Elephas maximus indicus: one gene and its partner. The protein of the gene in region 1 purifies or fractionates together with the protein of each later gene. This does not show direct contact. Links are inferred from orthologs where the notes say so. Each region holds a gene or a part of one and is shown on either strand. Other genes may lie near its edges.

Region 1 (6,850 bases):
GACTTATGCTCAACAAAGTAGAGGGAACTGACACATGGGGGGAATGCTTCCCTGACATACCTGCTTCCTCCTCCTCCTCTTCATTGTTCCCCTGACCTTCCTGCATCTGTTCCAGATCCTCCTCCTCTTCAGAATCTGTAACCTCCTCCTCTTCTTCCTCCTCTTCTTCTTCTTCCTCCTCCTCTTCTTCTTCCTCTTCCTCCTCCTCATCACTTTCCTCATCTTCTTCCTCATCTGTCTCAGCCTTGGAGGTGGTAGGACACTCCTGGGATGCTATTCCACTAGGGCCCTAGAGGACAAAGGAGTTTCTCTAAGAAATCCCTTGCTCCAGAGTCCAGCCCTTGCTTTCTTTCTGCACATTCCCCCAGCAGTCACCCCAGACTCCCTGGAGGCCAGTGCAGGGGAAGGACATGGCCTCTCTGAAGGAGGTATCCCTCTCATACCTCACCAGAATCTGAGGAGGCTCTGGGGGGTTCTGCAGGGTGGCCAGAGGTGCCTTTGAGCCGAGCCCTTCTCTTCTGTCTCTCACCCTCCTCACTCTGATCTTGCATCATTGCATATTTGGTGATGACCTCATCCAGCCGGCTCATGGCCAAGCTCCGGTTTTCCCGAAGGCGCCGAGCCAGGATGGGATCCAACAGTGCAGGGTCAATGCCTATGTGGGAAGATATAAAGTCAGAGCATTCAGCCCAAACTCTAGAAGGAGAGACTAAAGGGATGCCCCTCTGCCACACACCTGATGGGTTGCTGATGGGCATCCTGCAAACTCCCTACCTGGCCTATAGTCATCTGTGAGGTGGCAGCCAAAGTTGTAGATGAGATCAAGGTGGCGTCGTTCCTGTAGCCTGATGCCCACATCTCGGAAGGCATCCTGAGCCATGAGCTGGAGCTGCTGCCGAGGGAGGCCGAGGCTGTGTCGAGCAGCTGCCTTCTCTACGGCCCGCAGCACATCTCTATAGTCAGGGAAGGTATCAGGCCCTGGCTTGTTGATAAGCCGCTCAATGCGCCTGTTAACCTCTGGGTAGCGGGTTCCACGGTAGGGGATGCGCTGCTCTATAACACGGCCGGTCAGTGAAGAGCAGTCTTTCAGCTCACACAGGCGCCCAAAGAGGCGGATCAGCTTACGCTTCAACCGTGCCTCCTGTAGGTATGTGGAATCCGGGTCATCCAGTTCTGAGAGATCCAGCTCCTTCTCCTGCAGCCTCCGTATCTCTGCCACATAGAGGGCCAGTAGCTGCTCCAAGTGCTGGATCTGCCGCCGAGAACCACGGGTCCTTGGGGCCTCAGAGGCAGTGGTCTCAGCATTTGTGGAGTCTAAGGGGGGGTCTGTGGGAGGGTTATTTCCAGAGGGCTCACTGGAGGTGGTGGCAGCAGGTGACAGGTTCAGCTTCTTCTTGGCTGAGTGGGCCTTGAGAACAGTGCAGAGCTCGTTGATGTAGACATAGAGCTTAGCTGGCCGGCTCCGGGCCCGAGATAGGACCCGAGAGAGGATGTTGCAAAACTCCGCCGAGGCCAAAAACAGAGAATGGGCTCGCTGCTGGCGGTTATAGAGGAATGGGACCACCTCAGGGTGCTCTGCCGTCTGCATCTTACACAGTTTAAGGAACTGGACAGTTCAGAGGAAGAAAGGAGAGGAAAAGAGACAAGGGAGATGGTTGAGAGGAAGGTGAGGTGGGGTTAGCAGGGAAGAAAGGACAGGAGAGCCAGTCAGCCCTCCCCCTCCCTAGAGTACAAGAATCTCCTCCCTTAAAGCTCACCTCTTCAAACAGCTTCTCATTCTCCAACTTGTAGCATTTCTTGCTGCCCGAACTACTGCTTCCTTCGGACACACAGGGCTCAGAGGGGCCAGGGGCTTCTGCCCTGGGCGAGGCCGGATTGGGGGGTGGGTGGGAGGGCCCTGGCTGAGCAGCTGCTTCATCTTCGTCATCATCATCCAGCACGATGATGTTGTTATCGGTGGCCATGGGGGATCAAATCCCCCGGAGGGAGGAAGTGGTGGGGATTTCAGAAATCCTGCTGGAAGGGGATGGGGCCTCAGAAAGAGCCCCTCCAGCATAGCCCCATCCCTTCATCTCACACATTTTCCAATCTCCTTGGGTTTCAGTAATACCCAGCTCTGCCCAACAGTGTCTTCACTGACTATCATCAGCAACCATTAGTTACATATACTTTTCGGGCCCTGCACCTGGGAGGGGGATCCCCAACCACCTACAAACAGTAAGTTCCTATCTCCAGCTCCACCCCTCAGATCGATTTCCGGTCTTTCTGTTTCGTTTATCCAAGGTTTCTCACAGTTGGCAAGTTGATCCTTCCTCCCAGGACAGTTTACCACACTGCATCTTATTTCTTTGACACCCTCTTGCACAGATGCTACATCACTGTTGGCACACCCCACGTTTTCCCCCTTTCGCCCTCAACCACGTCAAACCTGCACCCCCCACCCCATCCTGAATGATCACCCCAACTCCTACACTCTCTGTGGAGGAACAGGTTCTCTCCCAACAGCCCATTCTCCTTTCTTCTCCTTGAATTATTCCCATATTCCACCGTCTAATAGGTCCCTTCAAACCGGGGCTTTAAAAAAAAAAATTAGGTTGGAGATATTTTACCTCGAATCCCCTCCCTCTCACCCCACCCTAATTTTCCCTTTTTTCTCCGTTGACCCGTAACCGCTCGTGAGCCCCTGACTGGGCTCTCTTGATTCCTCTTCAATCCCAATCCTGGGTCCGGCCCCCTTCCCCAGGTGAGCTTCCCGCCAAATCCCCCCTCCCCCCGCAGTTCAGCCCCCGGCCGCTCTCTCCCCTTCAGGAATAGGAGGTACCACAGTTTGCTCTCGAGCTCAGCTCTCGGGTCTCCACAATACCTCTCCCTCGATATCCCCACCCTGTCTGCCCGCACCGTCCAGCGCCCACCTCAGAAACGGTCTCTCGAGGCGACCCTCACCGCTGATCTCAGAACCTCGCATGCTTCTCTCCGCCTTCCTTCCCCCTCCCACCGCAGTCCCTACTCAGGACCGGAAGCCGCAGAGTTTCCGCTTACATGCACCTAGGCGCAGCCATCTTATGATACGGAACGTTGTCCTGTGGCCGGAAGTGATGTAGTCCCGCCCCTCGAGTATCTCCAGTAGTCTGCGGCGCCCTATCCCCTAACCTGTAGGGGGCGTGGTTTGTCCCTTCAAGGAGTGCGAAGCACCCGGGGATCGCCATTTTGCCGTACGGCGTTGTCTCAGTCCGGACTTATGCGCGAAGCCAGTGAGGCTCTTTTCACCCGGTGCTTCTGCGATTCCGCCAATCAGAAACTTCTTGCACTGAGCGCAACCGCCGGTGAATCGCGTGCAGGGAGGATTGAGCCACTTTTCCAATTGGGCGGGGGGGGAACGGAACAGGACAGATAAGGAGTTGGGTTCCCCAAGGCTGTGGAAGGTTTCATAGAAGAGTGAGAATCTCTTAAGAGGAAAAAAAATCCTTTCCTTCCGCTGGGCTATTGACAAACCTTCCGGCCCAGATTTCCTATCTCCCAGGTGTTGGTTTGCAAAGCTTAAGCAACTGCGTCCGCCCCTTTTCTTCCGACGGCTGCACGCCCCTTGCTGCTACCCTCCATCTAGCTCTACATCTAGATGCCTCCATCTCCCCATCGTGAAATCATAACACATGCACACGAAGAAGCACAACGCGCTACACAAATGCGTTATTATTATTGCCACTGTTGATTTGCTTTTCACCCATCACCACGTAACGATCAATCAAGCAGATGGGACCTGGGTTGTTTTCTGTTCTTCTCGAGAGGGGTTCCCCGACGCGCAGGAGGCGCTGACCAGGAGGCTGTGCTTCGTAGAGGAGTCCAGCGCCTAAGGACCGGCGATGGGGCAAGGGTTTTAAGAATCTGATCAAATTGCCACTGTAAGGGTATGAGACAAAATGAGAAATGAGTCTCGTGAAGTACCTGGGGTCTCGTCTCCTCTTCCTGTGGGATTGCTGTGGAAAGAAGGAAGGAGGAAGAAACTGATTGTGATGCCTGTCTCACCCGCACCCCTTCGGCCAGCTTTAGTGGGGCTAGAGGGACTCGTCAAGGCAGGGGCAAAGTCCAGAGGTGAGCTCATGTGCAAACCCAAAAGATTAACACGACTCCAGTCTCTGAGATTTTCACCTCCTGCATCCTGTGCATTCCATAAGTAGCGAGCATCTTCCCACTTTCTAGTACCACCCTTACATCCCCCACATCTTTGGAATCCCAGAACATCAAACCTTCCCTCCCATTAAAGAATTCCACACCACTTCTCTCCAGTTCTCTAAGCCTAAGTCTTCAAATTGAGACCATGAAGACACTCCAAAGGGTACCTGAGCATGGGCGTTTTACTGGATCTAATTTCCAGATCCTCACCTTTCCCAAAATTGTTTTCCTGAGTAAGCACCGGCAGTACAGGTTCTCTTTCTTCCCTTCCCCTTTTACAATGGACTTCCTCCCTCTTAAAAAAAGAAGAGTATAGCTCTCAACCATAAAATCTCTGTGGTAATCTTTTTTTTTTTTAGTTAATCTTACCTTGTCTCAAAGAGACAAAGAGCCTATTCCTTTCATCCAAAAAACCAAACCAAACCCTTTGCGGTTGAGTCAATTCCGACTCATAGCGACCCTCTAGAAATGGAGCAGAACTGCTCCATAGGGTTTCCAAGGAGTGGCTGGTGGATTCAAACTGCTCACCTTTTGGCTAGCACCCCAACTCTTAACCACTATTTCACCTGGGCTCCATCAAGTCACTATGATATCTCAATTCAATTTGACATTCAAAAGGGTGATTTAACTATTTTATTTTAAAATGTGAACATTATTAATATGCCAAGATTGATTTCAATTCTTGAAGCAACCTTAATTTATGATGAAAAATTTTAGATGCCACTTAAAAATGAGAGATTACATACGTTTTCAAAATTATTTCATAATTATTTATTCTCAAAATTACTTCAAGGAAATTAAGATTGCTTCTCTAAGCTATATAAATGTCCCCTCCACAACCCCCAACAGTCCCATTTCCCTCCTGTCTCCCCTCTCACCTCTGTGGCAGGGAGAGAGAATGCTTCTAGGAAAGATGGTCACAATTCCAGCTCTTGCTCCTTCTGAGGTGTTTGCAGGAGCCAGTCCCCAAACTTTGCCCATGGTAGCAGCCACAGCAGCTTATAGGCAGCCTGCAGCATCAGCAGTGTCAGGAGGAGGACCAGGAAGATAAAGAAGGCCTTGTCCAAGGTCTGACGAAGGGGACCCCTGGGAGGAGAGGGACCATGGGCAAACACCAGGAACACATCGTCCTCGTCCACATTGCCTTCCTCTGCCATCCTGAACCCCAGTCTGACAGCTGGCTGGATCAGGGAGGTTGGCATGGAAGCCTTGCTCAGCACTGCCAGGATTAAGGGGTGTGGTGCTTGCAAGTCCTGCACCTGTCTTGACCCTAATTCCCCCACTCAAGAGAGATAAGAGAGCCTTTGGAGCAATCATTTAATTACCCAGTATAAAGCGAATGGTCTGGACTAAACAATCCCTAAAATCCTGTCCAGTTTTACCACTTTATGATTCTGTGATTTGGAATCATTAGGCCCAACATAGAGACAAACAAACTGGAACAAGCAGGCAGCCCAACTGTCCACATTCTGGGTCTTTAAGGTCAAGGCTCAAGGTCTGGGGACCCTATAGAGAAAGGGTGAGCAAGTGGACCTTGTGTGCTACTGTGAGCTGCTGTCCGTCAAGGAGGGGGCTGGGCCTTTTATTTTTCAGTTGGCCGTTAAAGTCCCTTTGGGTTTGACAGCGGGTGGCTGGCTGGGTGGGGGCCTCTCCTGAGGGGGTTGGGGACAAGTAGCCGAGTGCCCGGGGTCTACAGTCAGCTCAGGCATAGTTCTCCCGCCCCACCCCCACCCCGCCCCGCCCCACCCCCACCCCACCCCCACTCACGTCTGCCTTTGGCTGAGATTGGACGTTATAACCTAGACCTTTTGGAATTTTGGGAGAGGCGGATTATAATTGGACATCGTGAGCTCAAGGGGTGGTCATAAAAAGAGAAAGATTTTGATTGGTCGGTGGGTCCAAGCGGGGTAGTTGCGAACTACTGGGGCAAATACAAGCCAAGGAGTTGCCTTTTAGTCTAAAAAAAGCATGGCCACGCCACGTGTGTCAGAGTAACTGCTCCATAAGGTTTTCAGTGGCTGATTTCTCAAAGAGATTACCACGTCTCTCTTCCAAGGCGCCTCTCGGTGGACATAAACCGCCAACCTTTCTGCTGGCTAAGCATGTTAAAGTTTGCACAACCCAGGAACTCCAGGGCAAAAATAAGATGTGAGGTTTGAGAGGGATAGAGATGTCGTTTTCTTGTAGGATTTTGTCTTAAACATAAAGAAATGCTCGGGTTTGCCATGCATAAATTCCTTTAGTTTATTGCAAGGTAGTCATGGCAAGGCACGCACTGAAGTCTTCCATTTTAGAACCCAAGAATAAGAATTGACAATTACAATTACAGTGTTAGTTCAGTAGTTAGAGTCCCAATCTTTAGACTTAAAGCGTTTACCTTTTACAAGAGGTTCTCGGGAGGAAGACTGACCATGGCTGGAACTTGGTGGAGCTCCCGCATAGCTAGGGTCCGAGGTCTGTAGCGGTGGGTAGCCTGCAAGCTCTCATAGTCTTCGGAGAAAGTCAGAGACTAAAGAGATACTTTGCCTCTGCCTGCCTCTCAGAGCATGAGCCGAGATCCAGTGTATACATGTAATTTTTAATTTGACCTTGCACAATAAGGATTAGGTGATGTCATGTTTAACAGAGACTAGTATGTCACCTTTTTTTTCTTCAAGGTCAAAGATTTGGTGGTTGTTTA
Region 2 (7,826 bases), on another chromosome or scaffold:
AACATATCCTCAGGTACATTGTCTTCAAATTACTCATTTTTAAAACTTGTGTAACTGTATTATCAGAGACCAAATCAGGTCAGAATCAAATCTTTTTTAAAAATACTAAGCAGTATTTTAAAAATTACAAATAATACCATGTGATTTTATGAAATACCCAAATCAGGCTACCTCTTTTTCACTCACTGTTACTTGGTAGCAAATGTCCTAAAAGAATTCTCTCTTAAGCACCAACCGGTTACCTATGTATCAAAGAGTAAATCCAATCCATTTTCCATAAATTTATTTCTGTGGATCTACGTTAGAGACATGTAACCAAGTCTTGAAAGTACTCCTTAGTATCAACAACCGTCAATCTTTGGTAGCCAAAACAAGTTCATGGAAAGGCCTGCTCTGGGCAGGGAAATCTTTGAAAGTTCTTTGAAGTCTACCAACGCTTGAGACTAGGCCATCAAATAACAGTGAGTACTTAACACACATATACACAAGAGTGCAGAATGTAATTAATTAAAATTGTCAACTTAAAATGTTTCTCTTAAAAAAGCCGTAAGTCATTTCTCTATTCTATAAGCCCACTACTGCAACCACCCCTAACCAGGTTCCTTGAGTAATGTGGCTAGGCTGAAATCGAGAAAGCACTGGCTTTGGTGGTGACCAAGAAGGGAGAAGTCTCTAGCTTCCCTGTTGCTGCAGTTCCTTCCCACCCTCCAAAATGAGTATACCCACCGGTGTGAACTGACAATGTGGTCCAAAGAGCAAAGCAGGCAATGGAGTCCAGATCCTTAAAATGGTAGTACAGGGCATAACCACTAGGCCACCTATCAGTTCACTACAACAAATACAACCCTGTGTGCATCATGGTACAAAAGCTGGGGCCTAGGTTTTGCACTGTTCATCTCACACCTATGGAAATAACAACAGAAGTAAAATCTACAGAAATCAACACACCCCAAGAAGGTGGGTGCTCACAGAGAAGACTGGTGTCAATTCTTTTCCAACGGTGGTTGGCTACGGAGATAATGATGACAAAGAGTTCAAAGTTGGAAAGAACCGAAATTTTACACTCAACTCTGTTGAGTTTGACAATGAAGACCTCAACATGGGCTTTATGCTAACCAACAAGGCTTTGCAGATCATGACACCCATCATGAAAATCACTGCTCCACTGAAGTCTAACATCCCTCAAGAATGATTTTAACTCTCAAAGAGTTGGAAAGATTTGGACTAAGAAGAAGCAGGATAATTCACAATGCCACAAACTCCTTACTCTCAGGTTTTAAACCTTCTCCTTTTCTACATGACCTTGGAAAAGAAATGGTGACACGTTCAAAGTTAAAGGTGGAAGAATTCCACAGAAGGTGAAATCTGTATACCAAGGATGTGCCAAGGCGACTTGTCAAGAACAAACATGGACTGTCTGAGGGTCAACAGTTTTGAACAAATAAAATGAGAAAACTTCTAAAATGCAGGGTGGATTCTTTAAAAGAAATAAAATCACTGCTCTTGACTCACTCCTTCGCCATGTTGCTGTCAGCTCACCAACTAAGAGTGTGTGTGTGTGTCTTGCTGGGCCCATTTTCCCATGGTCTGTAGAAGGCGCTGTGAAGCACATCCTGTTCTAACTGTGGGGCCCTTCCCCCCTCTGCAGCCTTACCCAGTGCAGAGAATGCGCCCCCTACTGACTCCAACACTCATCGCCTTTAGCCGACTTGGCTGCGGTGCATTTTGGGTGGGGGCTGGTATTTTCTTCATGGCCATAAACCAGAAGCAACAATGCAGATTTATAAAGAAACTGTATCAAGCTACCCAAGAGATTTTTTTTTCTTCTCATCTTGAAGGTTCAAGACACAGGCTCGAGAAGCATCACAGATGGGGACTGGGTGTGTGGGGATGGACAGCATTAAAATGGCAAACACAGGAAGCAGTTTGGTTCTTTTTTCCCTCCTAAGCCTTTGTCTGAGAAATGGGGTTATGGGAAGAACTATCCAGAGGAATTGGTGAACGCAAGAACATCAAGAAAACTTAGTGTGGGTAGGTGTGTGGCCAAAAGGGATCTAAGACCTTAGAGCTTGGTCTTGGGCAGAAGAGGAAGAGGAGCAATCGCGCCTTTTCCAGCAGACAGACATCCAGGTTGAGGGGGAGGGGAAGGGAGGCAGGCAGCCCAGAGGAGAGAAGAGGTGAAAAGAGTGCTCAAGCAACTACTCCCCATTCATTGCATTATAAACATCTTTTCGCTGCTTTAGGGCATTCTATTTTTCATTAACTTATTTAAAGTTGGGGCTTAGCATGCTTGTAAGAGATCGTGGTGACCAGGCATCTGGAACTGGAAAAAAGGGGTGCTGGTGCACTCTGGTTAGGATAGGACGGGAGCTGGAATGGTGGGGACAGAGAATTGCACAGGATAGGCAAAGACTTTTTTACTCCGTGCCATGCATGCTACCCGCCCCCAACCCAATGCCCCCTCCCCCAGCTCAGGGTGGGCAGACCTGGCAGAAGGTTCGTTCCGGGCACTGGGGGTGTGCGTGGGGGGCTCGGTTGGTGAGGGAGGAATTAGTTCCAGAGATGGGAGAAGATCGCTTCTTGCTGGGGGCGGGGTGGACGAACACAGGATTAGCTGCAAAAGCTCGGGGGACCAGGCCGGCTGCTGGCCTCGGCGGGCTCACGGGGCGGAGAAGGGGGTCGGGCTGCAGGAGGAGGCGCCTGGACCCCGGAGCAGCGCCCGGATAGCGGTCGGCGCGGGCCGGGCGGGCCATCAGTCGGGGAGTATGCAAAGGAGCCCGTGTGTGGTTGGAGGGCTGGGGATCCAAACAATACTGCGCCCCGCGCCGCAGGGCCGCGCTCGGCGGGGCGGCCCGAGGGGCGACGGGCCGGGCCGGGCCGGGCGCGCAGGGCCGCGCGGGGCTTACCTTGGCTCTGCCTCGAGGCGCGCGCGGGGCCGGCGTGCTCGGGGGCCGGGCGGCGGCGGCGGGCGGATGGCGGCGGCACGGCTGTGGCGGCGGCGAGGGCGCGCCCAGGGCCTCGCTGCGCTCCGGCTCGGCGGGCTCCGGCTCGCGCCGCGGCCGCGGCTGCTGCCGGGGGGCGCGGTGGGCGCAGCAGAGCGGCGGGCGGCGGCGGCGGCGGCGGCGCGAGCGGCTCCCTCCAGTCCCCGCGCGGGCGGCGGCGGCAGCGTCGTCGAGCGGTGCAGACAAAGGAGGGGCGGAGGGAGGAGACGGAGGGTGTGGGGAGAGGCGGCTTCACCGGCGCGGGCAGGCTGGCGGCGGCCGCGCTCCTCTCGCTCCTCAGCAGCGGGGACCGAGAGAGGGAGCTGTGCCTGAGGAGACGCCAAAATCCCCCTTAGCGCTGCCTGCGGGAGGGGGAGGGGCACAAGATGGCGGCGACCGGGGGGTGGGAGTTCAGCTCATGGATCCCGGCGGGCGGCGGAGGGGAGACCGGGCCGGTGGAGGCGGCGGCGGCAACGGGCGGGGGAGGGGGCTGATCCCGCGTCTCCCCTCAGCAGACAATACAAGCGCCTCGGAGCGAGTCCCCGAACCTGCCCTAGCCAAAATGGCGGCCGAGAAAGAGCGGAAGTGACGTAAGTGCCTCATTAGAATAAGAGGACTCATTGTCCAGCCAAGTGGGGGGGGGGCAGTGGGGAATAGTACCCTTTTACCCCGAAGCTCCGGGGATCGCTCCCTTACTCCCACCAATTCTTGCTCCTAACTTTTTCTGAGGGAGGGTGCCACTAGCACTCCCCGACCCTGCCTGAGGGGGATTATATAATCCCACTGAGAGGGAGCTATCGCGAGAACCAAGAGAATCTGCCATTGACCCACTAGGAGGCGCCGTGGATAATGGCCGCAGTGCGCTTCCAGGGCCCCTGTGCACGGCGGGCGCCTTCCTCTGGCCGCAGCGCCGGCGGCGGAGGCAGAAGCAGCGGGCCGCAGCACTCCCAGCACTCAGTCAGGTGGCCGTGTTGGGAATCCCTGCGCGGGCCCAGCAGAGCCTGGACTACATCTAGTGGGAGGGGGGTGTGCGGGGCAGCCCCGGGGCGGCTCCACGTGCTCGGAGGCCCCACGCCTACAGGACGGGCAGCGGCGGGAAGCAGCAGGGCACCTGGCTGGCGGTGCCTGACGCCTCCTGCCTTAAATGAGGTGTGAGGGCCTGTTGCACACGACTTGAGATGAACCACAACCCCATGGATGGCCCGACCCCTTCCTGCTGGGGTGGGGTTTTTCGTAGATGGGGGCTTATTTTTACAGAAGGTTGGCTGTTGTCCTGGGACTTGCCATTCTTTCCAAGTCACAGTGATGGTCTCTTTTTGGCCTGAAGAAAACAAATGGAATCTCCAGTGTCTGAGGCCGCTGGACTAGTGAAGCCGTTGGCATGGGCCTCCACAAGATCCTTGAAAACTACAGTTTGTGCTCCTGGGCACAATGACTTTGTGCTCTCCATCTGGATAGCATGATACCGCGCAGTTTTGCCTATGGAAATTTAGGCCAACCCCAACCAATACACTATCAACATTTTTGATGCCACCTTTTATAGTCGAGTACATCTGAGAGCGTATCTTTGGTTACGCATATTGAAAAGTAAATACCAACGGGGAAGGAATAACAGCTTCTTAGTATGTGCTGTTACACTTGTCTTGCTATTTCTCAAACCATACTTAACATCTCAAAAGAATCTGAATTGATAATATAAAACTGTAGTTAGACCTTTGTCTAAGACTATGGTTAGCTAGTTTAACGAAGTCTTTTATTTACTACAGTATTCCATTAATTTCTGAAATTTTGATAAAACCTATCTATGCAAACCAAGTAAGTACTTGAAAACAATGGCTGAAAAACATTAAGAAAAAGGGGGGGTGGTGGCAAAGCATTTCATTAAGAGGAACAAAGATGAAGAATGGATTACACATAGCAGAAGACAGGCAAAAGTTAATACAAATTTTATCTTTAGTTTTTCTTAGATATGCTTAGATTTCATACTGTGACCATACAAATAGAAAACATCAGGGTTTCATCCTTGACCTCATTTATAAAGCAAAAAGGGATGCTGGATTCAGATGTGTTTTAGACATTTTCCCAGTATGTAAGTCATCAGATTTACTACAAACTTGCATCTAAATAGTCCAGATTCTTTTCTAAATGACTGCTCAAAAACTTTCTTTACAATAAATCCCAATGGTGATGACACTGTAATAATTGTGGGAGTAAGAACTGAAAAGGTTAAAAAGACAAAAGTTACCTACTCTAGTGAGGTATGAAAGGCAATACTATACTGTGGGTTTTCTGAGGTAGTTAACTTAATCTCTTCCACACACTGGATACTGAAAACTTAACTTTGCATTTAGGTTAGAAAGAATAGATTTGGAACAGAGTAACACTGAAAATCATTGAGAATATTTACATTTCTATTGTTAGCTTAAGACTAAAGAGTTTACATCAAACACTGATGAATTTCCTAGTGGAGGGCACTGGGTTTTTGGTTTTTTAAGGAGATTCCCATGAGAGGAATCATTTCTGAAAGAAAGGTGGGTCCCCCGGTGGGTCAGCTGAATAGCTCTGGGCAAAAGGGAAATAGTGGCCCTTACTGGAATGTGTACTATGCAATCAACTATGGGGAGGGAGGGGATTTTAATGTTAAAAATGACACCAAAGAATTCATAGTCTGGCATTCATTTCTGGTAGGATCTGTTTTGAGAGAAATGCAAATGACAACTCAGACTTTTAAATTTCTTGGGCAGCCAAATTAAACCTGGAAAATGCAGTAATTAAGAATACTGTTCACTCGATAGGATTATTAGAAAACTTAGAGACATCTCTTCCTTTTACTTGCAAAGTTGAATCAACCTGATCTTAACCTTATTTGCTCAAGGTGTGTCTTATCCATCCAAACTTTAAAACCTACAGCAGGTTCCAAAATCTGTGGTACCATTAGAAACTGACCTTTTTTGAAATACCTACCTTTAGAGAAGGTAAGTGAAGAGAACATGTGCACTGGGCTTTATTAAACAACCTGTGTTTTAACTGGCAGAACAACCTTCTGAATGGAGAGAAGAGCTATAGGGAAGGGATTTTTTTTTTTGCATAGTAGAAAAGATAAGTGCTTTGGTGAGGGTCTTGAAATAATATAAAAACAAATATTTTGAGAGAAAAATCTTTATAAAAGTAATTCAGTAAGATATTTTGTGCCTCAGTGCTTTCAATATTTTTCCTTACTTATAGAGGTTATTGCTTAGAAGCGGGGGGGGGGGGGGGGGGGAACCCAGCCGTGCAATCAACTGCCACCATGCCGTTTCCAATTCACAATACATACTTAGACCTGCTTTAGTAGAAGAAATATTTCATCAGTTCAATAACTGCAAAGAACCAAAACCCTAAAATTTTATTCTAAATGTATTGTTTTAGCTGGTTTAAGAAATATGAGATACATTTTTGAGCAAAGGGCAAAAGTGTGTATTTTTTTTTTCCAGTTCATACAGAAACGGCCATTTACATTTCATGAATATAATTAACATTTCTCTTCTGATGTATGTTAGGTACAAAGAGCTATAATTCAGTTCTTATAAAGAATATTTTAAACTCTTCCCCATATAAGATATTCTGCGTTCACATACTCTAATGAAAGTAGCAATATTTTATGCAAAAGAAAACCATATACATCTATTTATAGGTCGTAACAGTAAAATGAAAATTGAGAAAACTGCTCATTTTGATAATTCAATTTGAAATATTAAGTGGTGGAATTTCTTCAGAAAAAAAGATTTACATGAAATTCACCTTACCTTAGGATTTACGCTCTAAGAGAGTACATTTTATAAAAATCATCAACCAGGCTTCTTTAATGCTTTAATTGAAATGAACATGATAAATATACATGAATTCTTTTATGTAGTAGCAAAGAGAGTCAATAATCCTTTCAAGAAAGAGAGTATTTCATTTCCTCCCAACTTGGATTCACCATAAACACGATCCACAAATGATATTGGAACCTGGTTAAAAAAATACATACATTAAAGTCAGTCTTGCTGCAATTCAAAGAAAAACTATACTCCACAAGTAAAATGGCCTTTCACTGAATTTTTTTAGTTATGTGTCAAATTTAACTATCACTATGTTTTAGCATTATGTGAAAGGCTTGTTAACTGCCACAAGACAAGTGGCATTTCAAGTTAGCCATTTTCTTCCTTTGATTAAGGGTAAAAAAACAAAACCAGTACCCAGTGCCCTCGAGTCGATTCCGACTCATAGCGACCCTATAGGACGGAGTAGAACTGCCCCATAGAGTTTCCAAACAGCGCCTGGCGGATTCGAACTGCCGACCCCTTCGTTAGCAGCCATAGCACTTAACCACTACGCCACCGTCACTATGAGTCGGAATTGACTGGACAGCAAGGAGTCTCTGATTAAGGGTATCAGTGTTAAAATGAGGGCCGTCTTCCCAAGGAGCTCACTGGCTCACCCTAAATATTAAGATATCTCTCTGCCTCGCTTGGTATTCCCTAGTAATTTTCATCTACTCATGGAAATTGGCACATAGGATTCACCACTCACTCTAAAGTAGGGTGGTTGCTAGCTATGGCAAGAGGAAATGCCATGAAGAGACTCATCCCTCCAGTGCTAATGGTCAAAAGAAAAGGCCGGGATGGACAAGGTACCAGCAACATTTAATTATTTATATGTGAGTGCTCCTTTCCATTAACGTGTTAAACCTTGGTCGGTCAAGCATATTTAAAAGGGATTTGAATTTTCATTTTTGAGTACATGGACAGTCTAAACAACGGGAAGTCTTCCATGTTAATTTGGTAGTATGAAGGTTAAAACAATTTAATATAAAAAGTCTAA

The links. The genes of interacting proteins can lie anywhere in the genome.
Region 2: the proteins of DAXX (region 1) and ADNP purify together in Homo sapiens (affinity purification with mass spectrometry; 4 studies listed by BioGRID and IntAct, with this or other methods). This does not show direct contact. The link is inferred for Elephas maximus indicus from reciprocal best matches to the Homo sapiens genes DAXX and ADNP.

Annotation. Positions count from the first base shown.
Region 1 is NC_064819.1:96,114,970-96,121,819, forward strand, and holds the start of DAXX (death domain-associated protein 6), read right to left. Parts: upstream 3,013-6,850; 5' UTR 2,913-3,012; intron 2,017-2,912; 5' UTR 1,965-2,016; coding exon 1,758-1,964; intron 1,607-1,757; coding exon 775-1,606; intron 656-774; coding exon 444-655; intron 290-443; coding exon 61-289; intron 1-60. Other genes in the region: SMIM40 (small integral membrane protein 40), read right to left, coding at 5,088-5,327. UniProt on the Homo sapiens protein: Transcription corepressor known to repress transcriptional potential of several sumoylated transcription factors. Down-regulates basal and activated transcription.
Region 2 is NC_064843.1:18,763,695-18,771,520, reverse strand, and holds the start of ADNP (activity-dependent neuroprotector homeobox protein), read right to left. Parts: upstream 3,012-7,826; 5' UTR 2,907-3,011; intron 1-2,906. Other genes in the region: DPM1 (dolichol-phosphate mannosyltransferase subunit 1), read right to left, coding at 6,869-6,973.